Arabidopsis thaliana: one gene and its partner. The protein of the gene in region 1 interacts with the protein of each later gene in a pairwise test. Each region holds a gene or a part of one and is shown on either strand. Other genes may lie near its edges.

Region 1 (16,885 bases):
TGACAAGACACAAAGGAGAATCAAAACAATGATTTCTAAAAGCCAGAGAACTTACCTCGAATACTCCATGGCCAACGAACTGCCCGGTCCAACATAACAGCTGAGATGCTAACCCAACCTGAGTAAAAAGACAATTAAATTGTTACAGTATCTACATAACAGAGAGAGTTGGCGTCTTGGTGAGTATTAACTGTTTTCCCCTTGCTGTTGAATACATATAACAAACTAATCAAATGATTCAGACTGAAGATACATATAAACTAATCAAATGATTCACAACACAGAAGATACATAAAAAAGCTCCTAAGTTACAGATGTCTCAAATACTATGGAAGAAAAACCAAACTTTAGTTAAACAAGTGATGTAGATTCTAATTATCTGAGACCATCCAAATGTTGGTGGTCAAGAACAACACTTGTTTCCGTCCAAGCACACATCAAATCCTCTTAACCAATGAGTCAACAACACTAAAAACATGACAAGTCTCCGGACCAAAGAATCAGAACCGTGCAAAGGTGGACAATTGCAGAACAAACTGCAATAACTACTAATCATGAATGTTCAAAGCTAGAGACATGATATTAGTACTGCTGTCTCAACGTTAACAGCTAATGAAGGGACCCATAGACAACAGATAGAGAGGACTAATGATATAAATAAATCTATTTCTTCTTCCCCGAGCATAACCAATGATATAAACGAACTTTCAAGTCAAAGCATAGAAAACAATGAACAATAAATGCATGAACCACACTCACATCATATAAATATACACATAGAGCAACACATGGATACACATAGTCATATACCCTCATAAACATGCTTCTACGCAATTATTTTCTCCAAAAATGAAGTTTTTTCAAAAACCCTAAATTGAAATTAGAGAAAAAAAATCTAACCTTTAAGGCAAGAGAAGATCCTAGTCGAACAGCAAGAAAACTGGAACCAACCCAGCAAGAGAAACACATAAGAGCAGCTACAAATCCAGATTTCTTATCCAAACCGATATAGAACAGAGCATAAATCAAGGCGAATATAAACCCAACGTTAAATCGCAAAACGCCGTCGAGGGTCAACGATTGAGAAAACCCTAATTGAGAGGGGTCGAAAATTGGGGTCGACGAGTGGAGGAGAAGTAAAACTGAGAAGAAGATTGGCCAAACGAAGATGATGTGGATTAGAATGTTGATCGGATTGCTATGGTAAGCACCGTAGAAGGCGAAGTGTTTCTCGAGATCGAACAATCCCATTATGCGACTCATGGATAAAAAATTCGTTGAGGAAGAGGTGTTTTTATGAGGAGAAGATCGGTGGAAATTGGATAATAGTCACCAAACAGAGGAGATTAAAGATATACACGGGAAGAAGACGAAAGTGGAAAGTTTGATTAGCAATTTCCCGAAAATGATGCTAACGTGCGCTTTTTAATAGCTAACATGCGCTTTTTAAAGCGATAGAAGTTGACTTGGCCGGAGATTTTCTTCCGACTTTTGACAAAATACTAGTCGCTAAGAAGAGTAGACGTGTTATTGTGATTGCTAACATGCGCGAATAAAAGCTGGTTTAGATGGATATACATCATTGAAAGTTTGGCAAATAGAACATACACTATTCAACGAATGATGTATTTGGGATGATTGCTAACATGCGCGCATAGGAAGTTGAATTAGATGGAAATATCATTAAAAGTTTGGCAATAGTTGCCAACGTACGCTATTCAACAAATGATGTATTTGGGAAGAGACATAAGCGGAAAGTTTGAATTTCACCAACCAAAGATTTATTAGCAATTTTAGTGTGGTTACTAACTTGCACGTCTAGAGGAGTGAACGTGTTTAGTGATTGCTAACCTGCGCGAATGGAAAGTTTGTTGGACGGGTAAAATACGAAAGTTTGTAGTTGAATTTTGCTGGAAATATCTTTACCACTCTTTAAGGCAAATAGTTGTTCCCAACCTGAGCGTTTTAGAAGGCTAAAATGTGTACTGTGATTGTCTAAATTGGGCTTTTAAAAGACAAAAAAAGTGTTATGCGATGTGATTGCTAACGTACGTTATTTTTTTATTTTGTTTATCACAAAAGTGAAGAGTGGACGATACCAATTCCCTTATCCACACATTTTCTGCCTCAAAAAATCTAATCTTAAAGATTAAAATAAATGAAAAAATAAAAAAGATTACACCAACATTTTTTTTTTTTCTTCTCCATTGCCACCATCAAGAAGTAACAATGGCTGAAGCTTTCACAAGTTTCACCTTCACAAATCTTCATATTCCTTCTTCCTACAATCACTCGGTACATATTATTTTATATTCTTACCAAAAATATTTCATTACGAAAAAAAGTTTAAGAATTGTGTATTGTGTTGTAGCCGAAGCAGAATTCAGGACCGAATCATGGATATTGGCTATCTGTAAGTAATTTTCTCTAACTAAGACTAAAATTAGAAAAAAAATCTCCATATTCTTGTGAATTTACGTCTTAGAATTTGAAAAATTAGAAGAATGTTAATGAGAAGAGGGAAAGGAATTTGATGAGAGGAAGCTTATGTGTAAGAAAGGCATTGCCACATGATTTGCCATTAATGGCTGTGATGGTTCAACAAATAGAAGGAATGCGTGATATCATTACAGAGAAACACGTGTGGCATCTAAGTGATAAAGCTATCAAGAATGTTTGTAAGTTAAACACTTGGGGTTTCTTGAGAGATTTTATTTTCTTTCTTAGACTTTTTTTTCTTCTTTTTCTTATGTTTTGATATTGATCTTGATATGGCAGATATGTTCTACATCATGTTCACTTGTTGGGGATGTTTGTACTTCGGTTCAGCAAAAGTATGAAAACAACAACTCAAACTGAATCTTTTGATACATTTGCTGCATTGGGATCTTAATAGTACTTTGTGATATTGGATCAATACAGGATCCATTCTACGACTCAGAGGAGTACCGTGGAGATGGAGGGGATGGAACTGGATATTGGGTCTATGAAACTGTATGTATCTCTCCCTTTCTAATACTATTAGGAAAGAAAGAAAAAAACTTAGAAATGCATACAAATTATAACTAGGGATGTTGCAATGGACCGACCAACCCGCTGTGGTCTTACTAGACCCTGTGGACCAGTTCAGATCTAGTTTGACCTCAGACTATCCCACCTTGGTCTTAGTAGGCCATGTAGACCTGTTCAGAGCCGGTTTTGAGTACTCCTCCATGTGTCTCAGCATGCGATAAACCTCCCTAAACAAAGAAAAATAGGTGGCTTTTAGGTTAGCGTTTACCGTTGGTATATATGCACCCAAAAATATGAATCCACAACCTTGATCATCTAAACGAAAGTCACAATCTGATAGATGGTAGGTAACATTGATCCATCCTATTGATAGATCAATCATGCTTAGTAAGTTTGAGCCGGGTTGGGCTTGATATAATAATTCAAACGTTAACAGATCTGATGGTAGGTAACATTGATCCTAAGTTGGGTCGGGCTGGGCTTGCTCGGGCCATTGACCTTTGGTATATCATCACAGATTCACAATGTGTACAACTATTATAAGATTGGATAGAGTTGTTATTGTGTTTTGGGTTATATGATGCAGCAAGAAGACATAGAAGAGAAAGCAAGAGCGGAGCTATGGCGTGAAGAACTTATCGAAGAAATTGAACAGAAGGTTGGTGGCTTAAGAGAGCTTGAAGAAGCTGTTACTAAGTAGAAAACTAACTTGTGAATCATAAACCACTTTACATACACATTATATATTTTCTTATATCAGTCATGCAACATTATATATACTCTCTAGCTTCCATATATATAATATATGTTATGTACTTCTTTGTTGTCTTGTGTTCTGAATCATTGAACGATCATGTTAGGAGCAATTGTCTCCTTCAGAAATTTATTGTTGACGACATCCGATGTCTTAAAAATATAAATAATTATGTTTGGTAAACTATCTTAATTTGCTTTTCTTGATTTCTTCGGTCGCAAGTTGGTCAGAGTGAATATTTATTATTTTTAAGTATAAAAAATTTAGTCAATTGGGGCTAAATTAATTGGTCGTATAGACTGGAAAGTGAGTCTGATGAGGAACAATTAGCGGGAAATACGCTTCTGCACGATTCTACCTGACAAAAACCAAAACTAATCAATCTTTAAAAACAAAAAATAAGTTAGCAGAGGTGAAGAAGGAGAGCTTGTCATGTCTTTGTCAGTAACCTTCGTGCTTCCATGTTTCAAAGCCTCTTCGAGCTTGTAATTGTAAACCACACGTGTGGTTTATTGTTTTTGTTTTCTTTTCAAATTTAAGTTTAATTTTCAGATATTTCTTTTTTTTGTGTGTGTGTTAGGAACACATGACAGGAGATATGATGTAACATTTTTATTTAAACAAAAAAAAGATCTGCATCACTGCATGTAGTGTATTTTGTCGTGTGTCAATTAATTCTTATAGTTGTACAATTTTAATTCTGGCCCAAACATGATTGATGACTTGTTAATGACACATATTTACCATATTCCATTATAATTATTTTTTTTCATTATACAGTTTCATAATAATACATTTCAATTTTCGGTTACCAAAAAACACCATTACACATTTCAACACAAAATTTATACTATCATACGATTATATAGACAATCTCGTTTCCGTCAGCCTCCTTGTGGATCTTGAATGTTCAATCCACACCTCCACATTTTGTAAGTAAGATCTTGAAACTCCTTCTTCAAACCTCGATCTATCTGATTAATAATGAGCGTAATAAAACGATTTTCTCAAATGAATCTAGTACCATCCATGCTACTGAGTCTCTTGTTACGCACTATACGCAGTCGTCTCATCTCCTTCTCGCTGGAGGATATCACTATCAGCATTTCTCTCCTTGAGTTTTACTTTGGTTCTATCAATTCACCTCATTAGTTGTGATACAACTCATAGTTATCTCTTTTAATAAAATGTTATATTAGCCTTTTTTGGTGTGTTTTTGAGATTTTCATTGTACAATGTACACCTTTTTTTTTATTTGGTGTAAAGTTTAACATTAAACCAAAAAAAAAAAGGATATAGACAAAATTACATGTCAACATTTTTGTGTCCTTGAGCATTCTAGAACGACGAGAAAGAATCAACCAGGACCGAGTCCCTTTACTTACCAATCTCTCTCTTCAATACACGCCAACGAAGACTTAGCTGGCTTTTTATCCACATGTGCATTGCATTGACCAAGTCTCTGTCACAGCTCCCATTTTCTCCACGTGGCACCCATTAATGTCTCATTCTCGACTTCATATACCACAGCCCCGTGACCAATGAATTTCCTCAAACTGAGATTTTATTACAGACAGATCTGTGTACTTTTATTTTATTACCACTAGACGTGTCCACTGCGTGTACTGTACCGAGTAACAAAAAGAGAAAATAAAAAAGGAATGAGAACACACAACAAATCAAATTATAGCTTTTATTTCGTCACACCTTTCTTTTTATTTAGTTAAGGAAAATGAGAAAATTATCCAATATTGAATGTTTCTAAAGCAGATATTAAAATACGCGGTCAAAATTCTCGCTTTATAAACACATCTCTTCTTCTTCTAGCTTTCATCAATCATCATCATCACTCTCTCTCAATCCAACAAAGAAAAAAAAAGTCTTCTTCTTTTTTTACAAGTCTGAGAATTTTCTACAGAAACAAAAATCTGATTGTTTTTCCCACTTTGCATCTGTTTTGAGGATGCCAGCTACGGATTTTCAAGGATCATTTGGAAGGTCGTTGCTAAGTTTACGGCGAGACCAAGTTGACTCATCAACAGTCGTCTCCGGAAGTAGTAGCCACCACGAGCCAAGCACCATGGAGGTTGAGCTAGATTCGTTTCAAAGACAAGTCGCTGAGAAATTCATCGATCTCAACGCTTCTTCAAACGACCTTCTCTCTCTCGAATGGATCGGAAAGCTTCTTGATTCTTTCCTCTGTTGTCAAGAAGAGTTTCGAGCTATCGTATTCAACCACCGATCTCAGATCTCTAAATCTCCGATGGACCGTTTGATTTCAGATTACTTCGAACGGAGCATCAAAGCTCTAGATGTCTGTAACGCCATCCGCGACGGTATCGAACAGATCCGTCAATGGGAGAAACTTGCCGATATTGTGATCTCTGCTTTAGATAGTCACCGTCCGATCGGAGAAGGTCAGCTCCGGCGAGCTAAGAAAGCTCTGATTGATTTAGCAATCGGAATGCTTGACGAGAAAGATCATCCTTCTGGAACCAATCTAGCTCATCGTAACCGTTCATTCGGAAGAGTCAAAGACAGTCACCACCGTTCGATTGGTCATTTCAGATCTCTTTCTTGGAGTGTTTCAAGATCATGGTCAGCTTCTAAGCAGTTACAAGCTTTAGCGAGTAACTTGGCAACGCCTCGACCAAACGATGTCGTTGCTAGCAATGGTTTAGCTGTACCGGTTTACACAATGACTTCGGTTTTGCTTTTTGTGATGTGGGTTTTGGTAGCTGCGATTCCTTGTCAAGACCGTGGATTGCAAGTTAACTTCTTTGTGCCTAGGCATTTCCAATGGGCAGCTCCGGTTATGTCGTTGCACGATAAGATTGTTGAGGAATCTAAGAGAAGAGATAGGAAGAATTGTTGTGGTTTGCTTAAGGAGATTGATAGGATTGAGAAGAGTTCGAGGTTGATGAATGAATTGATCGATTCGATTCATTTCCCGTTGAATGATGACAAGGAAGTTGAGGTGAAACAGAGAGTTGATGAGCTTGTTCAAGTTCGTGAAGCTTTGAGAAATGGTTTGGATCCGTTTGAGAGGAAAGTAAGAGAAGTTTTCCATCGGATTGTGAGAAGCAGAACTGAGAGTCTTGATTCTCTTTGATCTTGCACATGTTTGTCTGAATATGATGAATGATTCATGTTTGGATTTTTTGTTTTGTTTTTGTTTTTCTCTATTTATCCTTTTTGATCACTTGTAAAAAAGAAACTCAAAGAGTGTAGAAGTGTCATCTTCTCTTTGTGATGCTGATAGTGATTCTGTTCTTCTTTGTGTAGCTACTTGCTTAGATTGAAGTTATTTTTTCAATGAACAGTTGTATCAAATACTTCATTGAATTTGAAAGATTACATTCAAGAAACAAATGAATCTTTATTTAGAGAAGAGGTTCAACTAAAGGGTCTGTTTTACAATTCAAATGAAGCACATACAAAATCTAGACATAACCTTAAATTTCTCATCTAATCTTCACAATCTTCTGCTGGCTTGAGTCCAGCTTCATGTTTGTGACGTCCTACTTTATTTCTTGCAAGTGATTCTTCCTGCAAATAGAGCTCAAATGAAATCCAAATAAATGATTAGGGATTAGAACAGAACAAACATTTGTTGTAGACAGTATTCACGGTTTGCCTCAGACATAAGTGATATTCATCACTGAAAAATCTGATAATACGTGCAATTGTTTAGGCACATCATTGGCAAAACCAACTAAATACCCAAGCAAAAAAATGTTAAATAATGAGCAAAGGATTCTTAGTTATGTGCATCAGAGAGATTCCCATCTAGACATTAGTCATCATTATAGAACTTCTGATGTCCCTGTCTATTCATCGTCACTTGCACTAGTCAAAAGACACCAAAAGAGTATCAAAACGAAGCAAAACAGAAAATACTAGATCAAAGTTGATAAACAGTCTGTGAGATATGCATCAGAGAGATTCCCATCTAGACATTAGTCATCATTCTCATCTCCTAACAAGGAGATTCTGATGTCCCTGTCTTTTCATCATCACTTGCATAAATCAGGCAACCAAATCAAATCAGAAGCTAGAAGAGCTACCAAAACCAAATCATTAATAAGCTCAAAGATCACAGTAAAATAAGAGAAACCAGATGTGTAAAGAGAGAGAAAAAATGCCTCAGAGTTGATTTTTTTTTCGTAGAGACGCATCTCTCAAAGTATATTTAACACCATCACAGGCATCAAAATCAAAATATACATAACAAAAACAACCAAAAAACTTGCAAAAAGATCAAATCTCAAAACATTAACATGGGTCAATTCTAGGGTTTATCAAGAAGTGATAAATAGACGTATTTAAGAAGAGAGGCGGAGCTAATTAGGGCAGAGACAAGTCAAAGATATTAATGGGCTTTCTACTTTGGCCCAACGAATACACATGTTAATCAATTAACAAAAAACGGTTTGGTTTTGTCGGTTTTTAAGGCAATTGAATTAACAAAACCGGTTTGGTTAAACCTTTGTCTCTCTCTAGCACAGAAGCACACAATTCCGTTGGTCGACGTCTTAAGTTTCCCAGCGAAATAAAAGGTTGTCCCTTCGTCTGCTTCTGTGAGCTTTCTCTCTGTTCCACCATTAATCTTTCCCCTTTTTCTCTTATTCAAACTTTTCTTCCTCCTTCTTCTTCCTCGGGACAAATCTTTTTGGTGCCTTTTTTTCTTTCTTTCCTCCTCCATGATCTTTCTCTTCTTTGTGACTTTCGCCTCCTCTGTGCTCATTTTCATGAATTCTTCTCTTGTTTCGACGCAAACACCCATTTTTGTTTCCTCTGTTTCTGCTGCGAAAGACCCCTTTTTAAAAAAAAAACATCTTCCGTTACAGTGAATTTTGTTGTCTAGAGATAGACTCTGTGTCCGAATTTAGACGTCCCCCATCTTCAAAGATTGGTGCTCTTCTTCTTCTTTTAAAACAAGTTTCATCATTTTCTCAATAGGGAGAAATATACAATCAATTCCTTCCAATAAGTAGAATTTTATCAGGTGATTGAAGTGAGTATTCGAAGAAAATGTTTAGTCTTTAGAATATTTTCATTGTTGGTTATGGGATTTTGATGCTGTATTGGTTTTGAACAGGGGATGGGAAGGGTTAAGTTGAAGATTAAAAGACTTGAGAGCACAAGCAACAGGCAAGTTACATACACGAAGAGAAAAAATGGGATTTTGAAGAAAGCCAAAGAGTTATCGATTTTGTGTGATATTGATATTGTCCTTCTTATGTTTTCCCCTACCGGAAGAGCTACTGCTTTCCATGGAGAACACAGGTATAATTATCAAAATCATTCTTATGTTTTGTTGTTCTTTTATCATCTTTAGTTCTGTGTTTAAATGCATCATATCTCCATTTTTGATGCATTGTGTAATCTTCTCATTGCTCTTCTATCACAAAAAAGGTTTCACTGATTTTGGTTTAGGAACTGAAAGTTTTTATAAGGATTTAGTTTGAATGGTGAGTGTATTTAGAAGATCACAGATAAGGGGTATTTTGACCAGTTGGTTTAGTTGGGAGCTTTTGGCTTTGGGAGAGATTAGAGACTCTAAAACAGAGCCTAGTTTTTTTTTTATAGTTTCCTTTCTGTTATCAGTTCTTAGATAATGTTCTTCGTGAGTGATTTGGCTTCCTGAATCTCTCAGAGGGATGAGAGATTGAGGTTCTGTATTCAAGTTTTTAGCAATATACTGATTTTAGTCTTAACTTGGCTTTTGTGTAGTTGCATTGAAGAGGTTATTTCCAAGTTTGCGCAATTAACTCCACAAGAAAGGACAAAAAGGTATGGTAAGCATTATGTTGAAAATTTAAATTACTATCAATCCTGATGTAATTTTGTGTTATGAACCTAAATTGAAGTCTCTTTCTTTTAATATTACAGGAAACTGGAGAGCCTTGAAGTAAAGACATAAAAACTCACTGTGTATATCATCAACTTTTGTTTTTTTTTGAAACACAAATTTGAGCTGATTTGTTTTGCTCAATTGCAGGCATTGAAGAAAACTTTTAAGAAACTGGATCATGATGTAAATATACATGACTTTTTAGGAGCAAGGTACTTGCCGTGAGTTCTTACTATTAATAACCATATTTTGTCATTGTAAGCCTCTCACATATCTGAGATGTTGTCTTCTTTATCCTGCAGGAATCAAACTATTGAGGTATGGATCGACCATCTTCGGTTCATGAATTTTCTTGGATACTTTTTAATCTCTTTGAGTCAAATTGCTAAAGTCTGTGTTAACATTACCACACGACAGGGTCTAAGTAACCAAGTAGCCATTTACCAAGCTCAGCTAATGGAGTGTCATAGGAGGTTGAGGTGTGAAAATTTATAGTATCTTGAGTTATAAAGTTTTTGCTTTTTGAAATATAGTTTCAATCATATTTGAGTCTTTTTCTTCTAATGGCTGTTTTCAGTTGTTGGACGAACATCGATAGAATAGAAAACACTGAGCACCTCGATTTATTGGAAGAATCATTGAGGAAATCCATTGAAAGAATCCAGATTCACAAGGTGCGTTATCATATTTTCTTTTTCTCGATCATACAGACCTAAGACTCAGGATTCATTTCAGTTTCCTGAACCCATATAAATTTTGTTTACAAAAGATGTTTCCATTCATTTTGCAGGAACATTACAGAAAGAACCAACTCTTGCCAATAGAATGTGCAACAACACAGGTTATAACCATTTTGTCGCCTTTCCCCTCTCTTTCTCTTTGTCTCTCCTCAGGACATATTCTTAACCAGGCCAAAGCCTTTTACTGCAGTTTCACAGCGGGATACAGTTGCCTATGGCGATGGGAGGTAATAGTAGTATGCAAGAAGCTCACTCCATGTCTTGGCTTCCTGATAATGATCACCAGCAAACAATCTTACCTGGTGATTCCAGTTTTCTTCCCCATAGGTAAGAGTATAATAAAGTCACAGTTTCAAAAACCTTTTCATTATAAAAATGCTCACTCAAGTACTGGTTTCAAACAGAGAGATGGATGGTTCGATTCCCGTTTACTCAAGCTGCTTCTTTGAGTCTACGAAACCAGAAGATCAGATATGCAGCAACCCGGGACAACAGTTTGAGCAGTTAGAACAACAAGGAAACGGTTGTTTGGGGTTACAACAACTTGGAGAGGAATATTCATATCCTACACCGTTTGGTACTACTTTGGGAATGGAAGAAGATCAAGAGAAAAAGATAAAATCTGAAATGGAATTGAACAACTTGCAACAACAGCAACAGCAACAACAACAACAACAACAACAAGATCCTTCAATGTATGATCCCATGGCTAATAATAATGGTGGCTGCTTTCAGATTCCTCATGATCAGTCCATGTTTGTCAATGATCATCATCATCATCATCACCACCATCATCAAAATTGGGTTCCAGATTCAATGTTTGGTCAGACTTCTTACAACCAGGTTTGTGTGTTCACACCTCCATTGGAACTATCTAGGTAGATGATACACCAAACTGAATATGTCTCTGTATCTTTGGTGATTGCAGCAACCGAACTAACTCAAGACATGGCTCATGTATGTATGATGACTGGACTTATGTCTGACCAAGGACTAGTTTGAGCCATTGCCTACAATGTCTAAGATAAATATATATATGTAGACAGCGAGAGAGTGTGTGTACATGTTTTTGTATGTGTGAGCTTGTGTCATATACTCAGGGGAGTTTTAGGCATTTGTGTATAAGAGATGTTGTCTAGGAACCGTATATTACCTTTAACAAGAATGATAAGTATATCAATATATTAATGTTTTTATAGGTGTTGGCCAATATATTGTTTGAGACCAAATGGATTGAATTTTAAGATTAAAAAAAGGAATTTATATAATACTGTATAACAAAGGTGCCTCCATTGTGACGGTGATAAACACATGAACCATTGATAGATTGATCTCGGTGATGATTTTTTCACCAGAATCGACGCTCGAACGGTTATTGACATGTGGCTAGGATGGAGTCCAACAAAAATTTCTATAACAACAAGCGGTGATATATTGGGCTCTTTTTGAGCCTTTAATGTTTCTGGGGCTTTATGTATAGCCCATGTAAGATTTGGTTATGGTTAATAACTTAATAATATCTATTCTTGTGACAAACCCTAAATCCAATCTACTGTCCTTTTTTTTTTTTTTTTTTTAGTATGTACATAATTTTTTTTAATCTAATCCTAATTTACACATAATAATTAAATTAATCGACATTTTTTTTTTTTGAATATCAAGAGATTCTGGGCCGAAGCTCTTAATCCTCCAGGCCCGAAACAAGAGCATGTAAACTCCAGAAACTATCAGATTTAATTATACGCAATTTATGCGATTGTGATGAACGAACCCATGAACAACTCCACGATGTGCAACTCTCTCCGTAACATTGTCATCTCTTACCTAACGATTCTTACTTATATATGTTTTACCTACGATGGACAATCTTATCTCTATAGGGAAGACTAAAACGAACGGTTCTGCTTGCAGCATTCTGGGACTTTTGATTAGTATGCCAAACTAGTTTATTGAAAAAGTTAATTAATTATATTAACCAACCCAAAATGACGTTATTAGCTCATTTGATCCATGTTTTGGATTGTTGACAAAAAAAAAAATCTTAAAAGAGCGTTACGAATGAGAATACATCGGCAAATATGCAATACAAGACTGGAAAAGAATATATTTGTAGTTTTCCAAAATTTAAGAGAAAAGGAAAAGAATACTATAGAAAATACGAAAATTAGAATAATTATCCCTAAATTCAATCTACAGATTTTGTTTCTAAACTATTTCATTTTTTCTAAAATTTAATTAATTATATTAACTAATTTTAAAAAGGCATTACAAAGAAGGTTTGACCCGATATTTAATTTAAAATTGTTAACAAAGAGCTTTACGAATGAGGTTACATCGGAAAATACACGGGTATAAAACGGAAAAAGACTCCGGCGACAGCATCAAACTAGTTCATTGATCTTCACATGGCAACTTGAAACGACACAGTGGACAGTCATGATTAGTCTCAAACCACGTTAGGACACACTCATCGTCAAATTCATGTCCGCAAGGTAAAGTCATAACTTTTGTTCCATCGTTAAACTCTTCCAAACAAATTGTGCACCTTTCAGTAGAACTAGTGGTCTTCTTGTATATTTTCCTGGCTAAAGAATTGACCACGAGCTTGTTTGCGGGTCTCAAACTGATATTATTGGTCTCCTCCAAGGAGGCTCGAACCGCTTCTTCAATTTGATCCTCTTCTTCACTCAAATCCTCTTCTTCAATCTCATACTCTTCTTCGATCGGTTCATCATTAGGAAAAATAAGCAAGGACACAAGCAAATCATCCCCCGGAGAATAGTCACCTCTTGCGGGATTAGTTACTGCAACAACATAGAAAATTAGCTCAAATATCGCAGTACCCCATTCCATATCGTAATCGTTAATTAGCTCTGAATCCTCCAAGAAATAATGTAATTTTTGTTTGGTGGGAAACTGATTGTTTTCTTCGTTGAGGAATTCTTCGATAAACGATGTATCAGTAAATGTGTAGTCGTAACCGTCGATATTTGCATTCACTGAGAGTGTGCCAGCGTTTTCTGGTTGATGATTGCGTATGATATTGTGGTAGAAATCTATTCTCATGATTGATTGAAGAAAAAAGAAGATGATGAAAAATAAAATAAGAAATCAAAATGTTGATGGAATTTGTGTCTGGCGTTTATGTTGTTGTCACAACGTTATTTATAGAGGATTCTGCATGCATTTTATTTTTTTGATGGGGTCGGCAACATATTTATTATTTTCCATTTTTAAATACTAGAAATCTGATTTAACTTTTAATTAAATAATTATACTAACTAACGGCGTTACTACGCTTGTTTGACACATACAATTGTTGACAAAACCGGAAAAAGGTGTTTTGCATCGGCAAATACAAAACGGAAAAAGACCCCGGCGACAACACCACGCACTAGTTCATTGATCTTCACATGGCAACTTGAAACGACACAGGGGACAATCGTGATTGGTCTCAAACCAGTTTAGGACACATTCATCGTCAAAGTCATGTCTACCATATATTACGACGTTACAAGAATGATAAATATATCAATATGTTAATGTTTTTATAGGTGTTGGCCAAAATATTGTTTGAGCCAAAAGAATTGAATTTTAAGATTAAAAAAGAGTTTATATGATACTGTCTAACAAAGATTCCTCCATCGTGATGGTGGTAAACACATGAACCATTGATCGATTCATCTCGGTGATGATTTTTTCACCAGAATCGACGCTCAAACGGTTATTGACATGTGGCTAAGATGGAGTCCGACGAAAATTTCTTCAACAACAAGCGGTGATATATTGAGCTCTTTTTGGGCCTTTAATGTTTCTGGGGCTTTATGTATAGCCCATGTAAGATTTGGTTGTGGTTAATAATTTCTACTTTTGTGACAAACCCTAAATCCAATTTACAGTCTTTTTGTTTTTGTTTTTAAATATGTACATAGATTTTTTTTAATCTAATCTTAAATTACACATTATGATCAAACTATCAGATTTAACTATACGCAACTCATGCGATTATGATGTACGAATCCACAAACAACTCCACGATGTGCAACTCTCTCTCTAACATAGTGATCTCCTACCTAACGATTCTTTATGGTGGATCATACCTACGATGAACGATCTTATTCTTACCTAAGACGGACGATTCTGCTTGCAACATTATGAGACTTCCGATTAGTATGCCAAAATAGTTAATTAGAAAAAGTTAATTAATTATATTAATCAATTTATAAAGGTATTCCTAACTCATTTGACCCATTTTTGGGTTTTTGACCAAAAAATCCTTAAGAGCGTTACGAACAAGGTTACATCGGTAAATACGCAATACAAAATGAGAAACGAATATGTTGTAGTTTTCCAAAATTTAAGAAAAAAGGAAAGTAATAGTATAGAAAATCCGAAAATTAGAATAATTGACCTAAATCCAATCTACAGATTTTGTTGCTAAACTAATTTATTTTTTCTAAAATTTAATTAATTATATTAATTAACTTTAAAAAAGCATTACAAAGAAGGTTTGACCCGATATTGTTAACAAAGAGCGTTAGGAACGAGGTTACATCGGAAAATACACGGATACAAAACGGAAAAAGACTCATGCGACGGCATCAAACTAGTTCATTGATATGGCAACTTGAAACGACAGAGGGGGCAACTGTGATTGGTCTCAAACCACTTTAGGACACACTCATCGTCAAAGTCATGTCCACAAGGTAAAGTAACAACTCTTCTTCCTTCACTAAACTCTTCCAAACAAATTATGCACATTTCACCAGTAGAACTAGTGGTCATCTTGTATATCTTCCTGGCTAAAGACTTGACCACGAGCTTGCTTGCGGGCCTCAAACTAATATTATTGGTCTCCTCCAACGAGGCTCGAACCGCTTCTTCCATCTGATACTCTTCTCCAATTGGAATCGCGTCTCCAATCTGAAAGGTAGGAATAAGACGCAAGGACACTAGCAACTCATCTCCCGTAGAATAGTTACTACGATCACATACTGCAATAGCATATTCACTTAGCATTATTAGTGCAAATATGGTATCGTCGTCGCCGATTCCTGAACTTTATTAGTGCAAATATGGTATCGTCGTCGCCGATTCCTGATTCCATTAAGAAGTAATTGAAGTATTCTTTGCATCGACACTCATCGTTATCTTCGTCAAGGAATTGTTCGGCAAAAGATGAACCAGTAAACGTGGGATTGTAACCGTCGATCTTTGCATTTACTGTGATTGTGCCCTCGTTTTCTGGTTGAGGATTGCGTATGATACTGTGGCTAAAATATATTTTCATGATTGATTGAAGAATGAAGATGATGATGAAAAAAGAAGAAGTAAGAACTCAAACTTCTAAAATGGTTCTTGTGTGTTTATGTTGTTGTCACAGACGTTATTTGTAGAGGATTCTACTACGTTTGTTATATTGGTGGGATTTGGAATCATATTATTTATTATAGGGTCTTTTGCAAAAGTAACCATTGTGGAAAAAGTTATTAAATTTTTAACATCATAATCTGACAAAAGAAATAAGTACAATAAAGTTATTAAATTTTTAACATCATAATCTGACAAAAGAAGTAAGTAACACCAGTGGTATCTAAAAAGACTATTTTGTCCTTAGTGTCTAATACTTCAATTTCTATACTATTTGGAAGGTTTTATGAATAGGCACATTTTTGCTCTTGCTTTATTAATATAGACTCATTTCTCTGATCTCTGTAAACGTTTCTTCCACTAACATTCTCCAATGATCCCAATAAATCAAATTAAATGAGAATTTTGATGGAAGAAATTTAAATGAGAAGATTTTCTTTTGGAAAGATTCCATTTTTTTTTGTTATTATCTTATTTATTTTTCATTTTTAAAATACATAAATCTGATTTGCCTTTCTTTTTTTTTAATCACAATATTGGATTGGGAAAGAAAAACTCTGGGTAGAATAAAATTAAATAAAAAAGCATTGACGTGGGTTGCAACCAGAGAAAAGTGATGACGTGTCATGTCGTGATTGGCTGAATATTATTGACGAAAGAAGAAAAAAACGCTGTGTCTATCTCTCGACTCTCTCTCTCTCTGGCGATGGCTATCAAACCGGAGATTTCTGTCTCCACAGCCGCTCCATCGTGCGAACCGAGGTTAACCTACTCGGAGATTTACGACTCCGAGTCGGAGAGTAATCGTTGAAGAGAGCAATGAGTGCCACGGCCATATCACTTCTCTCGCCGTTCAAGCTCAGTCTCGCCGCTCAGGCTGCTATGGAACATGTTAGTCAATCTTTAAATTTCGTATTTGTTTGCAGTCAATAAGCAGAATCATTTCGGGTCTCTGATTCTCCATATTTTGCATATGCAGACACCAGTCTTGTGGTCTCATGGCATTGATGAAAAGGCTGTACTATTCGAAGCTGGTCAAGCAGCTCTTCCTTTTCTTCAACAAGCTGGTTTGACTTATGAATTCAAGGTATGAAATAGTTATCAAATCAAATACTCATGTTTGATAATATAACAGAGCAGAGAATTCAGATA
Region 2 (16,866 bases), on another chromosome or scaffold:
TTTCATTTAATACTCTAATTCACAGTTTTAACATGGATGATTTTAATTACCATATTGTATTTAGTATTTTAAATTATTATTTTAACATGGATGATTTAAATCAACGTATTTTTTATTTAATGCTTTTAATTTATTATTTTTATATAGATGATTTTGTTATCATATCATTATCATATTATCATTTATATTATATATGAGGCTCAACCATCTAATCTTATGTATAAATTAATATATATTTTTCGATTATTTAGTTTTAGACTAAAATTTTATATTTTAAATCTCAACGATCTTAAAATAAATAAATGAAATTAATTAGAATTACAAGTTTGATCGTTCTCAAAATATAACTTACTCTATAAACGGTAAGTTAGAATTACAAGTTAATTCATCTTTCTAACATTAATTAAAGATGAATTGAAGTACATAAAAAATCAAAAACAATATTCCTTGATGATCCAGTTTTCGTTTGCTTCTATTATTTCCAAGACTCGTTGACCTTAATAAGAAGATGAGGTCCGTGAGAGATTTCAATAATGCACAAAAATACACGAATCCATATATAAGCTATATATACAGAAATACACAGAAAAAAAAAGTTAAAATTGTCGTTTAGAACACGTTGACTTTCAATAAAAAACTTCCATATATAAAAACACGTGTATAGACAAAGTTACACACACGTAAAGATATATCATCATGACAGAACAGAAGATGGATCGGATGTACGAGAGAAGTGACGATAAACAGAGAATAATAGATCAAAAAGAACATGGAAACATTACAGAAATAAATTTACGAAAAAACGTACAAAATAAGAGAAATTATTTTGGTGATAATTAATAAAATTAAGTCAACGGAAGAAACAGACGAAGAGATTCACGAGATATCCGCCTTGTCATTTATTTATCTTTTGTCCTACAAAGAGACATTTCATGGCCCGACTTCTCCGACCATTATATGTCCTAATAGTACTTCTTATTTATTTCACTTTATTAGTTCTAACAAACTTAATGGACACTCCATTCAAAAAATTTAGAACGTTTACCATCAATGAGAACAAACATTTTGAATCGAGATATAAGTTCTTAAAACTAAATTTAGAATTGATTTAGATAATATTTATATTGTTGGATAACAAAATCAACTCGTAGATCCATTGCAAAATAGTCTTAGATTTCGAATGGAGACGTGCGGTTTAATTGCAGATAAAGTGCGGTGCGGTTCAAATAATAACAAAAAAAAAAATATATATATATATATATATATATATATAAAGAATTTTGTTACTATTTGAAACGCACCGCACTGTGCGGTTTGGTTACTATTCGAAGCCTTGCTCTCTTTGTTTAGTCTTATAGTATGTCTAATATTATTTGTCTCTTCAGGATATTTGTGGAGATATACACGTAGTTGTGTCGATTCTTATGAAAAGAACTAAGATAAGAAGGTCCCCTACAGCGTGATTCTTGGAGGAGAACTCTAGATCTAAAATGAATTTGGTAAAAAATACTCAACGAGAAGTTGGTTTGTTGTTATTAAAAAAGGGAAAAACACATTTCTGGTAGATATGTGTAATCAAATTACTTTTAAAGTCAGAGAGTCAACGGACTGTCAGAGTCGAGTCCTGGGTCCGTCTAGTCAGAGAGTCAAGCATTTTTTTCATTAACCCCATCCTCATTAAATCCGACGGTGCTGGTGGGCCTCTTGTCTTGTTGTCTATCGTCCGATTAGATCTTCCTACGTCATTTATCCATTTCCATGAGGTCACGCTCATACTCTTCGTTTTCTTCTCTATGTTTTTGAACTTTCAGTCTCGAGTTCTCGACATTTTGACATCACCAAACCAATAGACTTAATTTCTTAATTATTTTAGAGAAGACTTTGATTCGTTTGTTGAACATAACGTTTTTTTCAAATCCATTTCATCAATGTACTCGCGTACGTTTATAAAAGCGATACAACAAAACAAATTTCATAAATTTCCACTAATGAACTCTATAGAATTTATAGAAACATTTATCATCGCAATCTAACGTTCAAAAATTTTTCATTAATGGACTTAGCTCTCGGATCTCCACGAGGTCATGCTGCCTGGTCGGTCCAAACAAATTCTTGAGATTCTCTATATGAATGAAAATATCGTTACCTATCAAAAGTATTTTTATTTTGAAGGAATGGATCGTAGAAGAGATGCGACATACGTCATTTTCATGCATTAAGTTTTGTCCCCACAATTAAAATTAAAATAAAAGTTAAATTTTGTAATTTTGTGTAAATGAAGACAAATCATTCTTCGATCAACTTGTGGCTGCATTATTGGCTGGGCGGTCCATACAACACACACACAAGATAAACATAAAATTGTACGTCGGTCTTATTCTTCCATGCAATTTGGTTGGTTTTATTCTATAGAATAGCCATCCCTCAAAAAAACCCATATTTTGGTTTATTTATTGTTTGACATACCAATCTTTTCACTTTCATACCTTTTAACATATCGTTTCAACGTGAAATAATTATTTAATTTAATATTTCTATCATTCATAAAATCTTCAGGTTTTCGTTTTTCTTTCTAAATTTATAATTACCAATTTAGTTTCATTGTTTACATTAGTGGTAATTATACACAGTTTAATTATCTTGTAGAATTTTAGCACTATATATTGCAAGTTGCAACTGATTGATACCAGAGATTTATATCCCGTGTATATAAGTCTGGAGATCAGCTTGAAATATATTAATATTGGCTTTTGACTCGTGTTGTGGTGATATAGAGTAAAAATGTTATAATAAGAAGCACCGAGAGGAATTGACAAAAACAAAAAACACAGAGAGGAAAAACTTATCTTTATTGTAAGAAAAAATTAAGAAACATACTTTTGGAGCTTAGTTAACTATTTAATCAGCTTGAAAATAGTTTATATAATTATATTATCCCTATATTTGTTTGTCCAATAATACCTTAATTTTAGTTTTCCTCCTATCATTTTCTAACAACTTGCAAATATCTTATCAATCATGGACGATGCCTTTGTATTCATAGGCCGGCTCATGATGATATAAGACGTTGGCGTCACCTATTGGCTATTGAGCATAAATATATACTGTATTTCATTTTTTCTCTTTTCTTAAAATGTAGAATATTTTTTTTTATTTTTTTTGTGTGGCTGTAAATTTATTATCTTGTAAATTCTTTCGCTTGAGCATTTAAGGAAGCATTTCATCAGTTTAAATGGCTCATTTATGAAACTTTCAAAATCAGTTAGACGAATAGGTAATTCTTGTATGTGACGTAACTATTCATAACTCATAGAAGGATATTTCGTTTTGGATATGGAAACCCAAATGTGAGATATGCAAAAAAAATATGAAAGTGAAATGGGACATATATGTAAGATATTAATTAATACATAAAAATACAAACAATTGAGTAAATGCAAAAAGAGCCAAGAGAAAGGGTTGACAACCGCCAAGAAGGCCAAGTCCACGAAATGCCTGTGGCTCCCAAGACAGGATTGTGTGTGTAATTTACACGATCTTATATTGACATATTTCTACCCTAAAGTAGAGTCAATATCATGTATTTAGTGAAGTTTTTTTTTGTTACAACAGTTGCGTTTTAGAATTTAAAAAAACAATCATAAACATGATGCAATTACAGTATGATTGACTTTAAAATTGAAACGAAAAATCCATTTTAGATTATGATCAACAATATATTGTTTTAATTATGATTAAAACCTTACAGAAAGTTTCTACCAACAAGAGTCTCTTAGCAAAACTTAAATCATTAGTAAGTAACTCATGAAAGTATTTTAACTCCCACCATAATCTTTTAATCTAAATAATATGATTTATTTTGCTCGTTTTTCACAGTACATAGTTACATACGGTATATATGTGTAGAGGCTCTTTGGTAATTTCTCTGAACATAAGATATCTAAATACCTATGAAGAAAAATCAGTTACTGTTCTAGATATTTTCCGACTACGTGAGACCAGGACAAATATAGCCAATCACGAGGAAAAATATAGTCTTATTAACATAGTCATTGGTTCAACCAACAAAAGCTAAATATGAATGATTTTATTGGAAGTTAAAAATGTCTCTTTTAACTACAACATTCTAGTAAGAGATTATCCCAAAAAGAGAAAAGAAAAAAAAAAAGTAAGAGAGATTTGATAGTGAAGGATACTCAATATAAACTTAATAAGTTTGACTAATATACTAATATAGTATTAATTTGAAAATGATGTTTGTGGATTACATAAAATCTAATATCCAAATTATATTATCACTATAAATTTAATTATTTTAAGTACACGATTTGATGAGAAACGAGATAGTGTTGTTGGTTAACCGATTCAAATTTCTGTTTTATTAAGTTATCGAAAGTTTAATAATTAATAGCACACAAGAATGTAAAAGATACGATCCAAATCTTGATTTGGAGAGCATATACTTTTTTTATATTAAAACAATCTGTCCATACATGTCATTGGAATCTAGATACATCCCAAAACAATCTGAAATATATTTATTATTGCGAAAAAGAAGGGTCAATAATCATAAGAGTGTGCCTATTATACTAGTATATAATAATAAAGTTGGTGGAATAATGAAATACTAAAGTTCAATTATTACTTGTAAAAGTAAACTAAAATCACCTAACTACAAAAACTGATGACCAATGAAATTGTAATGATGGTAACCAAATCCAATTAAATTCTATTCTGGGCAAAAACGAATCGATAATTGGTTAAAAGTGTTATTTTAGTTAGGACAAGACTTGTGATAGTGATCGCATAAGACTTTTAGGGGTTTTATTACTGGACCTATTCTAGCATCATCCTATTTCAAATCCTTAAATTCTTGTTCTCGAACCCGCTTTAAATTTTTCCTCGTTTCATATTATAATTGATTTAAGCAAAAGTATGATCGGTAGGAAATTCTTACAGCTATTATGCACTTTTATAACATTTGTTTTCCAATCAGACTCAAGTGTATATAGTGTGTCCCTTCTAAAATTCACAACTTCTATAACTATATTATATTTTCTCACCACGTTTTGTATCTTTCCTTTTTTGTTTTGGTTTAAAGCAATATGAGAATTTTACATGCTTTAGGTGTTTTTTTTTTCTTTTTACAGCAAGAAAAAATGAAGAGTACAACCCAAAGTTTACAGAGTAATGGTACAACAATTACCAGACGAATTATCTTCTTACAGCTTGGTTAAATCAATTGCTAAAGCACAAACTAATGGCGTGTATATATATTGCATATTTAGCCAAATAGTAAGCTTGAAGATTCTAAGACTTTCAAAGTAATCCCTTGCTGAGTTGCTATTATGCTGTATATGTACAATAGTATATAATAATTAAAACTTTAACGAAGACAAACTCATGTGAAAATGTAATAATCAGAAGACAAAATATAAGTTAATAATATGTCATATATATAATAATAGAAATATATGTTCTTTTCGAATTAAAATTAAAAGGTCTTAATTTTTTACAATTGCAAAAACTTTAAACTGAAAAAATGATTTAATCTTCTGGAATGTACATTATATAATATCCGCCACCCTACTTGCTACCCCTAGCTAAAAGCCAAACCGATGGAAGACTCGCTTGCATTAAATTATGCACTAGCTTAATCTACTTTTAAACTCTCTTATAATACATTTAATTCCTAATTTCTATCGCCATTTTATATTTTTACTGATATCAATATTCGAAGGGTCCATGCCTATGATTCCATGTCATACATAATATTTCCTTTCATACCTACATTCATTTTAATGAAAACCTTAAATATATATCCAAAAGCTATACATTTATGTAAACTAAACTGGTATAATAATTTTTGAAATATGTGTATGTCTACTGATTTACTATTTGATTAGTTCGTAGTAAATATATTATAAATTGTTTAAACATAAAAACAAAAAAAATCATGTAACTAGATAATTTTCTTGACGAAGATTCGAATTAACAACACAAAAAAGTTCATTTTCTGATATCGCAATGGTCTAATTAATGGTTGTTGAATAGTTTATCTTTTCCACGTTTCATAAGCTTTTTTGGTACGCGACATCCATATTGAAAAATGTCTGTCTACACTGAGCTCAATCCAATGAAATTTGTTGTGAATGAGATATATGCATTCACGGATTTCTAAAAAATATGAAGTCCATGACATCCATTGAAACATTTGACAAAATAAAAATATAAAATATGAAGTCATTACAACGTAGAGTAAGGTTTCTAAAAACCCCACTCTCGTTTCGTAGAAGCCCCACTACCACCTCACTTTAATTTCATTCATTATCTCATTTACGTTGATACTTTAAATTCATTTTTCCATATAAACTTGTAAGTATGAAATTTGTACTTAGTATATATTTTATCTATCTTTCCATGATGAACTTAAATATATTACAGTTTGCCTAGCCTTTTTAGCTCAGCTATATATATATATATATATGCTAATGTTGTTACGATGTTTATTGTTTTGTGTCTATATCTTATTTACTTTTTTGAATTATTAATAAAATGGAACAATTATACATATAGATTATAGATACATATATCTAAATATAATATATTGTATCTATATATATTAATACAAATTTTAAAGAACTGGCGGGTTTCTAAATTCTAACATATGTACTGTAAGTTCAGCTTCTTACTAAGTCATAGGAACATGGAGAGCGTTGGCAAAATCATGGTCAGTTTGTTTTGCATTCATAATTGAAGACATAGTAGTATCATGCAATGAAGATATGGTGGGCCAAATATATCATAAAAAAAATAGCGAAACAATAAGAGAACGTTCGTGAAGCTGAAGCATATGAAAAACACGTAAATATATTTATGACGAGTGACATAGTAAGCATACGTGATATTATTATTTAATTAGTAATATAGGCCACCAATCAGAATTCTTTGTCTCAACGATGAATAAATTAACTATAATAATCCAAATTTTTAACATTGTTTTAAGAATATCCGTTATTCAATTAGTCTACCTATAACAATGAATTATTATGGATCCTTTATCGCTATGCCTTGATCAGGAGAATTAGATTAGTTACACTTTCGCAATTTTTGTAGCGATGGATTGGAACAAAAACCAAAACAAAATATAGACTATTTACACATAAATTATACATGAAATCAACTTAATTTGTTATTCTCTAAAGTTTAGATTGTCTTTATAAAATACCAATCATATACCTAACTAAAACTAATGAATCTTTAACGTGCATGAGATGGTGCATGTGCAAATAAAACTATAAAGAAAACCATGATATATTTTTTCTAAGAATGATAGTTTTTGGGAATTTTAGACTTTCGGTCTATATTTTTCGTATGTCCACACCAATTGTTGATATTGCATTTAAAACATTAATTATTATTTTTTCCAAGTATAATTGAACTAGTAACCATGAGGTCCATGACATCCATTTGAAAGATGTCAATTCGTAATATTGTTTCAAAATATTTTTTCGTTTATAATACATAAACTTTAATTTTTCCTGTAAAAGATATCAACTGTTCTTTTCATTTGTGTTACAACCCAATAATTATTAAATATTTGAAACTTTAGTATTTAGAAAAAATACATAAAACTAATAGATAGATATTTTATTTTATTTTGAAACAAAAAGCTAGAAATGGAGAGTGAGAGAAAGGTCCAAAGGCACGGCTAAGAAAACAAAACCGTGGACACCCTGTCCTCAATTTGACAAGTCTTTGTCTCCTCCTTAACTCTCTTCTTCTCTCTCTTTGTCTTATTCTAGTTTGGTCTCAACTCCCAAAAACGATGACGTTTCATTCCTATATAGTCGTCCTCTCTTCTTCTTCTCCTCCTCTTATCTCTACTCAACACCACTCAATTTCATCTCTCTTTTTCCCTTCCATTGTTAGTATAAAAACCAAGCAAACCCTTAATCACTTTTCATCATCATATATCACCTTAATCCACATGCATACACATATCTAGTCTTTTTGATATATGGCAATTGTATCCTCCACAACAAGCATCATTCCCATGAGTAACCAAGTCAACAATAACGAAAAAGGTATAGAAGACAATGATCATAGAGGCGGCCAAGAGAGTCATGTCCAAAATGAAGATGAAGCTGATGATCATGATCATGACATGGTCATGCCCGGATTTAGATTCCATCCTACCGAAGAAGAACTCATAGAGTTTTACCTTCGCCGAAAAGTTGAAGGCAAACGCTTTAATGTAGAACTCATCACTTTCCTCGATCTTTATCGCTATGATCCTTGGGAACTTCCTGGTAAATATACATTCACATAAACACACATAAATCATCTCAAACTATTTGGAAATCTTAATTTCTATTCATATGTTAAGATCTTTCTTCTCTCTTATCACTTTCTCTCTCTATTTCTTTTTTTTTAACCTATATATGTACCTACCTCCTTATGAAGTATTACTATGTCGATCGTTAACAATTCTCAATATCTTTAAACGCTTCTCCCTCTTTAGTTTCTTTCTTAAATTAACCTAATTAAACAACCTACATATATATCATAAGATATACAAATATGTGTATGTTTTCATAATTAGCTTATGTATGTTTAATCATAGATATATGTATATGCAGCTATGGCGGCGATAGGAGAGAAAGAGTGGTACTTCTATGTGCCAAGAGATCGGAAATATAGAAATGGAGATAGACCGAACCGAGTAACGACTTCAGGATATTGGAAAGCCACCGGAGCTGATAGGATGATCAGATCGGAGACTTCTCGGCCTATCGGATTAAAGAAAACCCTAGTTTTCTACTCTGGTAAAGCCCCTAAAGGCACTCGTACTAGTTGGATCATGAACGAGTATCGTCTTCCGCACCATGAAACCGAGAAGTACCAAAAGGTATAAATTCTACTATAACTCTATATATATCCTATTCATACATACATAGATATAACCCTAGCTAGGTGGTGAGGCCTTTAAAATTGAAATTAATCCCTAGACAGTTTGAATTTTTTCTTTTTTGACTAGTTTTATTTATTTATTTTGGAATTGATTCGATAAGATCAAAAATACTTGTGAATGGACTAAATGTCAGGCGGCGTTTGCGCTTAAATCCAGAAAAATGTTCATGTCATATGCGTGAACTCTTTAAATTGCTAGACATGGCCCATATGTTATAGTAGAATACATTAATAGATAGATGCATACACATATATATAAACACACAAGTATCACACTCGACATTCATATACCTTAATTCTGCAGAGACATAGTTAGTTTTTCTTACAATTTATGACATGAATGTTCCTGCTCTTCCTCACATTAATTCATGTCTTCTATTTAAGTTACCCAACATTTTTTGAAATAATTTGGCATATATGAATTATACCAACATATTTATATGCGAACATTTAAAATCTATACGAATGATAACGGTTTATGGAGTAGACCGAAAAAATATTATGTATACGGAAAATGACAATGGATAGATAAATACATTTTTTGGGCTCTTTCGACTTATATGTCGTCACCATTTGAAACCATAAATTTATAAAATTTTCTATGTATATATATGATATTATGATGTATGCATAAGACAGCTAAAACAACAGGGTTGACATAATTATCTATGTGTATGTATTGCACATTCACTTGTACTAATAAAACTAAAATTACGCAATTAAATATATAAAAAATAATAAATATAATCATCTTAATTATATTTGCATTGTTACGTCATATGATAGTACTCTAAATTTCTTCTAAACGTGCTATCTTTTTTTGCTAATGCTAACTTTACATAGTTTGTGAATCTTCTTTCAAAACCATATCTTCGATAAATGATATTTTTCATAGATATTGTTAGTCTATATTTGATAATTTGATATATGTATCAAGTCTCTAATCAATGTGCTCATGTATAATTATAGGCTGAAATATCATTGTGCCGAGTGTACAAAAGGCCAGGAGTAGAAGATCATCCATCGGTACCACGTTCTCTCTCCACAAGACATCATAACCATAACTCATCGACATCATCCCGTTTAGCCTTAAGACAACAACAACACCATTCATCCTCCTCTAATCATTCCGACAACAACCTTAACAACAACAACAACATCAACAATCTCGAGAAGCTCTCCACCGAATATTCCGGCGACGGCAGCACAACAACAACGACCACAAACAGTAACTCTGACGTTACCATTGCTCTAGCCAATCAAAACATATATCGTCCAATGCCTTACGACACAAGCAACAACACATTGATAGTCTCTACGAGAAATCATCAAGACGATGATGAAACTGCCATTGTTGACGATCTTCAAAGACTAGTTAACTACCAAATATCAGATGGAGGTAACATCAATCACCAATACTTTCAAATTGCTCAACAGTTTCATCATACTCAACAACAAAATGCTAACGCAAACGCATTACAATTGGTGGCTGCGGCGACTACAGCGACAACGCTAATGCCTCAAACTCAAGCGGCGTTAGCTATGAACATGATTCCTGCAGGAACGATTCCAAACAATGCTTTGTGGGATATGTGGAATCCAATAGTACCAGATGGAAACAGAGATCACTATACTAATATTCCTTTTAAGTAATTTAATTAGATCATGATTATTATCCATGACAATAATTATTAATGCTGCTTTGCCATATTTTCATACTCCTTATATATTGTTATGGCGATAGACAATGATTGATTACTGCGAGTTTATGTAATGGAACTGATTCTCAACATATATAGTCAATTAAGTAGTTTTTTTTTTCTTGTGTTAAAGTTAATTTCTTTAAGCTAGATTCAACGTAGTTAAAAAAAAAAAATTCACTGTAATATATGAATACAAAATGACTAAGGAGTGCAATCCGTATCAAAAGTTCTCAAACAAACCAAAGAAGAAATAAACTTATTGGATTAGATTTTCATGTACGAGCCCTAACCGAAACCAGACTAAAACCAAACACTAACTAAACCATAACAATAGTAACCGTAAATCCAACCTAGTGATATTTAATTTGGTCTTCATTCCATTTCAAAATTTCAAATTGAATGTTGATATTTTTTGTTGTTTATTCATCACTTATTAGAATTCATTTTGCATTGTCATTTACATGCATTAGATCCAAGATGTTTAATTTTAGTTACCTGTTAGTGCGACTTTATAGATAAACAATCCACTAACTCTTAAGAATTCAACAACTAATTTTGAGATAGAAATATATAAAGATAAAAGATGTTAGCTAGTTTTTTGTCTTTGTAAATATAAGACTAATTAGGGTTTGACAAAAAAAAAAAGCATAGGACGTGCAATATTTGGTAAGAGCAGTTGTTCCCGTGATTTTGTCAGATATGACCAGCATGAACAGTTGTATGTTGTAAGAAATCAGTTCCCTTTTTCTCAATGAGAAAAACAAATTTAAACTTGACTTAACTCTCATACTAGTCTTTTTAATCCTAATTATTAACAATCTTTAATAATATATGTAATGTGGCAAAATCCTAATATATACTGACTTGAATATGATACGAAAGTACTAATTTTAAAGTTTTTTCCCTTTCTAACCGGTCGATGTAACCGTATTTGCATGTTTTCTTAGATTATTTTAAATAATATATGTCTATCACCTATATTAGTAAGTATATATTCATAGATTATAGTTGATTTTGCCCAAAGAAAAAAGAAGATTATAGTTGATTATACCACATCATTGATATTCTGTGACGAATTAGATTACAGTTGCGGTAAACGTATTCGCTAGCTAGTACGACGTGCTTAACGCAAAAATATTCAAAGATAACGAATCCGATTAATATTGGTTCGTTTCTTAATTCTTACATCTAGAATCACACATAAAAACAATAAAATAATTAAAAATTTGATGAATTTTTTATTTTTTTGAGTGATAAAAGGCAAAATGTTTTCCGTTTTTTAGTAGCTTTCTCTTTCAAAATATCTATTTCTGGTGTATATCGTGAAAAAAACTTTCAAAATACGTGAATGTGATGATCGTTGAAAACTTCAAATCTCATTTCCCCTAGGTTACTATAAAAGCCCACTATCCTTTAATGGGCCAGGCATGCTATTTCTGTACAATACAAGATGGACCTGAATGTTTTAACTTTTAACTTTTATCTTTAAGGTCAAGTTAATTGAAAACAAAAACCAAATTTGTGGATCAATTTGGATGCCTCAGCCTACGTATAAAAACATGTTTTTTTTTCGTAATATTAATGGAAATGAATATGTTAAAAAAAAAAAATACATGTTTTTTTCGTCGACACTTTTAAAAATAAAATAAAATTTAAATAAATGTCTTTGACCAAAATAAAAATAATGTAAAATTTGGGAGTGGGGAATGTAGCTCGGAAAAAAATAGGGTATGTAGATCGGAATTAATAAATAGATTTTATATTATTACATAAACAATAATAAAATACACAATGTTGTCTTTATTTAATTAATACAAAAATAATAAAATAGACAATGTTGTCTTTATTAATATTACTTCTCAGCCCCAAAATTAATCTTTGATCGGTCCCTTTTGTTTTATCGTTTTAGGGTTTGTAGCTCCTTTCTCTTTTTTTCTTTTCTCAATTTCCCCCAAATTAAAAAAAAACTCTCTCTTTCAGAGATTTACAAATTTCATTTCTCCAAATCCGAAACCCCAAAGTGAATATTTTTCCTTCTGGGTTTCTTTTGTTTGCCTGGAAACATTTGTCTCAGATTTTGATTTTGACCGGAGTACTCATATTCTCCGGCGATTTCTCCGGCGACATCGTTTGTGAAATGGAGGGAATTACTCATCCAATACCTCGTACTGTTGAAGAGGTCTTTAGCGACTTCAGAGGTCGACGAGCTGGTCTTATTAAAGCTCTCACTAATGGTCAGTTTTGGTCTGATTCTTGTTTCTCACTTGCGAATCAGAATGATAAGTATCTACAGAGTTACGATTTTGTGGCATTTGGGTTTTTCATTTGTTAAAAAAGAAGAACTTTTTTTATTTTGGGTTTCTTTTGTGAGATTTGACGATTCTGGGTTTTGTGTTTTGTTTATGCAGATATGGTGAAGTTTTACCAAACGTGTGATCCTGGTGAGTTATTTCTTCACAACTTTTAAAAAATTAGTCTTGCTTAGCTTCTATAGTTTCTAGTGAAATGTTTTGTTGAAGTTGTTGAGCTTGTATGTTGTTGAATTGTGTTGGTTAAAGATTGAGTTAGTTAGTCCTCCTCTGTGTGGTTTTTCTTTAAGGTGTTTCATTCTTGTTTATGTAGAGAAGGAGAATTTGTGTCTCTATGGACTTCCAAATGAGACATGGGAGGTTAATCTACCCGTTGAGGAAGTTCCTCCTGAGCTTCCTGAACCAGCTTTAGGCATCAATTTCGCTAGAGACGGAATGCAAGAAAAGGACTGGGTATCTTTGGTCGCAGTTCACAGTGATTCATGGCTGCTTTCTGTTGCATTTTACTTTGGTGCACGTTTCGGATTTGGCAAGAATGAGAGGTAAGGGTCCTTCTCAAGCTCAGTGTTTTTGAGTGTTGCATCTCAATTATGACAATATTGGGTGTACTCATGTGTGGTAAGGTTATAATGATCATTCTAGCATCCTCTTGTTTTGTCTATTTGTCTGATACAACAATCTCTGTGTGGATTTTTGTAACTCACGTGATCTTATTTATAGGGTCGGTTTCTGTGTAACTCTTTTTGTAAGTGGTTCCCAGTTTCTATTTTGAAGTGACTAGAGTTATGAATCGCACCAATCTGGATCAATGTTATTGAGATAGATATATTAGTCAATAGATGTGATATGTGCCTCTAAGTCTGATTAGTACTTCTTGTATTAGTCTTGTGCAGGATCACTGTAATTAGCCTAGGTAGTTTCCACTGCATTGTACCTTTGTTGAGAGCTCAGCAACAATCACTGAATCCATTATTTGATACTGGTAGCTGACAGGTTAAACGAAAAGCTTGAGCAGAATGAGTTGTTGATTCTGAATCTCATCAAATTCTTCTCTGGCATTAGGTTTGTTTGAACAACTTAGCTATCACTTGCCTTTAAGCTTATGCCATGGACCGATTCTTTTTCAGGAAGAGGCTGTTCCAGATGATTAATGAGCTGCCAACCATTTTCGAAGTTGTGAGCGGCAATGCAAAGCAGTCCAAGGATCTATCTGTTAACAACAATAATAGCAAAAGCAAACCTAGTGGCGTCAAGGTATCTCTTCTGTTTCACCATTTTGTTTTATCAATCTCTGCTAAGTTTTATCTCTTTGTATTCCTCACAAACAGTCTCGCCAATCCGAATCTCTCTCAAAGGTTGCAAAGATGTCATCTCCACCGCCAAAAGAAGAAGAAGAAGAAGAAGATGAGAGTGAAGATGAGAGTGAAGACGATGAACAAGGTGCGGTTTGTGGTGCTTGTGGAGACAACTACGGTACAGATGAGTTCTGGATTTGCTGCGACGCGTGTGAGAAATGGTTCCATGGAAAATGTGTGAAGATAACACCTGCAAAAGCAGAACACATCAAGCATTACAAATGCCCAACTTGCAGTAACAAGAGAGCTAGACCTTGAAGTTAAATAACCAAATTATGAAAAGGTAAAGCGAGTTAGGAGAAAATTATGAAAGAAGAAGGTGAAGTTTCCAGTTTATAAGAAATGCCAGTAAAAGGGACTTAGAAGATGTAAGCAGGTAAAAAAAAAAATTGTATTGCTTAGTCTTTATTGTTGGATTGAGACTATCTACAGTTGGTGATGTCTTTTCTTTTCTTTTTTTGGATTTTTGTTGTTGTTAATGTTAATTCTACTACTAATTTGTTTGGTCTGTTTAAGATATTTTAGTTCTGATTAGTAATTTTTTTTTTTTTTTTCTGATTAGTAATTTGCTAAAATTGTAAAAACTATTATGTCGTTATGTAGTCTTTTTATTCATCTTTTATCTTACTCTCTCTTTTATTTAGCTATTTATTTTGTTTCATATGATTGGTAGTTAAGTTGATTATATCACCATATATTATGAAATTGGTATTGGTCAAAAGGTATCAGTCAGGATTAATACTTCTAATTTTTTTTAAAACTGTTTCATTATTGTCAAAAAGAAAAACTGTTTCATTTGAAAAAATGGTTCAAGTATTAATTATCTAATACTTCTATTGTTTTTTCATAGTGCAAATATACATTGCCATCAATCTTGTTGTCTTTTGAACTTTTGCTATATATATAAAAAAAAAGATTGAAGTTGATAAATTATGACAGCCCAAATTATTACTTGACTAGATCTATTTGAGCCCAATGTTAGACAAGGATGTGTGTTTGGGCATGTAGCTTATATATCATGCCACTCATTTATTAGTTTACTTTTTTTTTTTTGGGTAATATGACTATCTATCCTCAGAATAATGATAATTAACTGACAAAAAAAACACCGTTGTCTTCTACTATTTTAATTTTATGACAATTATACCCCTAAATTAATTAAACTAAAAATAAAAGGTTCGATGAAACATTAGTACGTTAAATGAAACATTTAGTACGTTCAAATAAATATTATCCATATATCGATTATCTTACCGTGTTAAGACAAATATTATTTCGATATTTAGTATGTTACCATGTTATTATTCATATATCGATTATCTTACCATGTTGAGACAACTATTATTTCGATATTTAGTATGTTAGCATGTTATTATTCTATGTAAAATGTTATTATAATCGTTATCATTTTAATTATATAACATGATGTATTTTTATTGTGTTGATATATATAAAAATAATAATATTGATTCATAATTTTAAATCGATAAACATTTATTTAACATAGAATATGTAAATTTACCACGTTATTATATATGTTAGCTTGCTAAACAAATAGTTATATACTTATTTTTAAATATTAAAGTTATTTTGAATCGATGATATTTTTGTAATTAATCTAAACAAGAAGGATATTTCTAGTTTATATTTTATTTCTCTTGTCTATTTACCTAAATAACAGATTTTTATGTATAAATTCTTAATATTTTGTTTATTTTGTTCATCCATGTATATATTTTTAACTCACCCTTTTTTCCCTCCATTTATTAGTTTACTATATTTTTATGGATTTAAACATAATTTTTGCTCATTGACAAAAAAAACATAATTTTTGCTTTTCATAAATTATCTAAAGGGACACAAGTGTGTGTGTCATTCTCATGCATTATGCAACATATTCTCAACATGCAAAGGCTAATCTTGGATACATTAACTTTTAATTAAGATACACTCCCCAAGTTAAATTTTATTTAATATTTTTCTTCCTCTTGCATATATTATTAACTTTTTCTTATGTAATAAAAATTGTCTAACCATTTTCATTTTGCCAATTAAAGTAGTGTTATGTTCTAGGTCCATTATAAAATTTCGCGAGTGTATTATTCGACAGCTACATTCACCCAAAAAGATTAATCTTTTGATAAAAGTTTGGATTACTAGTTGATTATAAAATAACTAAATAACTAAAAGTGATGAAATAGGATAAAGTGAAGTTTTAAAAAAAAAATTATGAACAAGATAAAGTGAACTTGTTAAAAAAAATACATGAAGTAAAAGACTATAAATATATGGGCCACAGGGACAGGGGCCTTCCTATATCTAACAAAACCGTTGCATGTGCTTTTATTAGGTATTTTGTTATTTTGCATGCAAACTATAAAAGCATTATTTAAAGAAGTCAAGAACCCAACCTAAAAAAAAAAGAATCCAACCTATAAGTAACCATAAGCTTTTCTTTAATGCAAGTTCAAAATAAACTCAAATAAGTACACAAACTTTTCATTGTCAACATCTTTCGTTTGGTGA

What was found.
Region 2: the proteins of AGL65 (region 1) and LOV1 interact in a two-hybrid assay, tested with the Arabidopsis thaliana proteins (one large-scale study listed by BioGRID).

What each region holds. Positions count from the first base shown.
Region 1 is NC_003070.9:6,458,396-6,475,280, forward strand, and holds AGL65 (AGAMOUS-like 65), read left to right. Parts: upstream 1-8,271; 5' UTR 8,272-8,783; intron 8,784-8,867; 5' UTR 8,868-8,870; coding exon 8,871-9,055; intron 9,056-9,502; coding exon 9,503-9,562; intron 9,563-9,661; coding exon 9,662-9,680; intron 9,681-9,770; coding exon 9,771-9,835; intron 9,836-9,892; exon of another isoform or gene 9,893-9,902; coding exon of another isoform or gene 9,903-9,925; coding exon 9,926-10,102; intron 10,103-10,200; coding exon 10,201-10,297; intron 10,298-10,413; coding exon 10,414-10,464; intron 10,465-10,553; coding exon 10,554-10,690; intron 10,691-10,767; coding exon 10,768-11,206; coding exon of another isoform or gene 11,207-11,245; exon of another isoform or gene 11,246-11,291; coding exon 11,292-11,303; 3' UTR 11,304-11,589; downstream 11,590-16,885. Other genes in the region: AT1G18720 (ER membrane protein, putative (DUF962)), read right to left, coding at 56-118, 901-1,263; PnsB4 (NDH dependent flow 6), read left to right, coding at 2,230-2,295, 2,372-2,413, 2,501-2,678, 2,779-2,834, 2,923-2,994, 3,599-3,712; AT1G18740 (ROH1, putative (DUF793)), read left to right, coding at 5,730-6,878; AT1G18760 (Zinc finger, C3HC4 type (RING finger) family protein), read right to left, coding at 12,755-13,429; AT1G18770 (RING/U-box superfamily protein), read right to left, coding at 14,975-15,197, 15,556-15,653; AT1G18773 (acyl thioesterase-like protein), read left to right, coding at 16,553-16,624, 16,713-16,820. UniProt on the Arabidopsis thaliana protein: Probable transcription factor that forms a heterodimer with the MADS-box protein AGL104 and is involved in the regulation of pollen maturation at the late stages of pollen development and pollen tube growth.
Region 2 is NC_003071.7:640,024-656,889, forward strand, and holds LOV1 (NAC domain containing protein 35), read left to right. Parts: upstream 1-7,514; 5' UTR 7,515-7,981; coding exon of another isoform or gene 7,982-8,020; coding exon 8,021-8,312; intron 8,313-8,454; exon of another isoform or gene 8,455-8,642; coding exon 8,643-8,911; intron 8,912-9,942; coding exon 9,943-10,626; 3' UTR 10,627-10,797; downstream 10,798-16,866. Other genes in the region: AT2G02455 (uncharacterized protein), read right to left, coding at 7,982-8,194; AL6 (alfin-like 6), read left to right, coding at 12,814-12,910, 13,085-13,117, 13,299-13,527, 14,113-14,239, 14,314-14,598. UniProt on the Arabidopsis thaliana protein: Transcription factor that acts as a floral repressor. Controls flowering time by negatively regulating CONSTANS (CO) expression in a GIGANTEA (GI)-independent manner.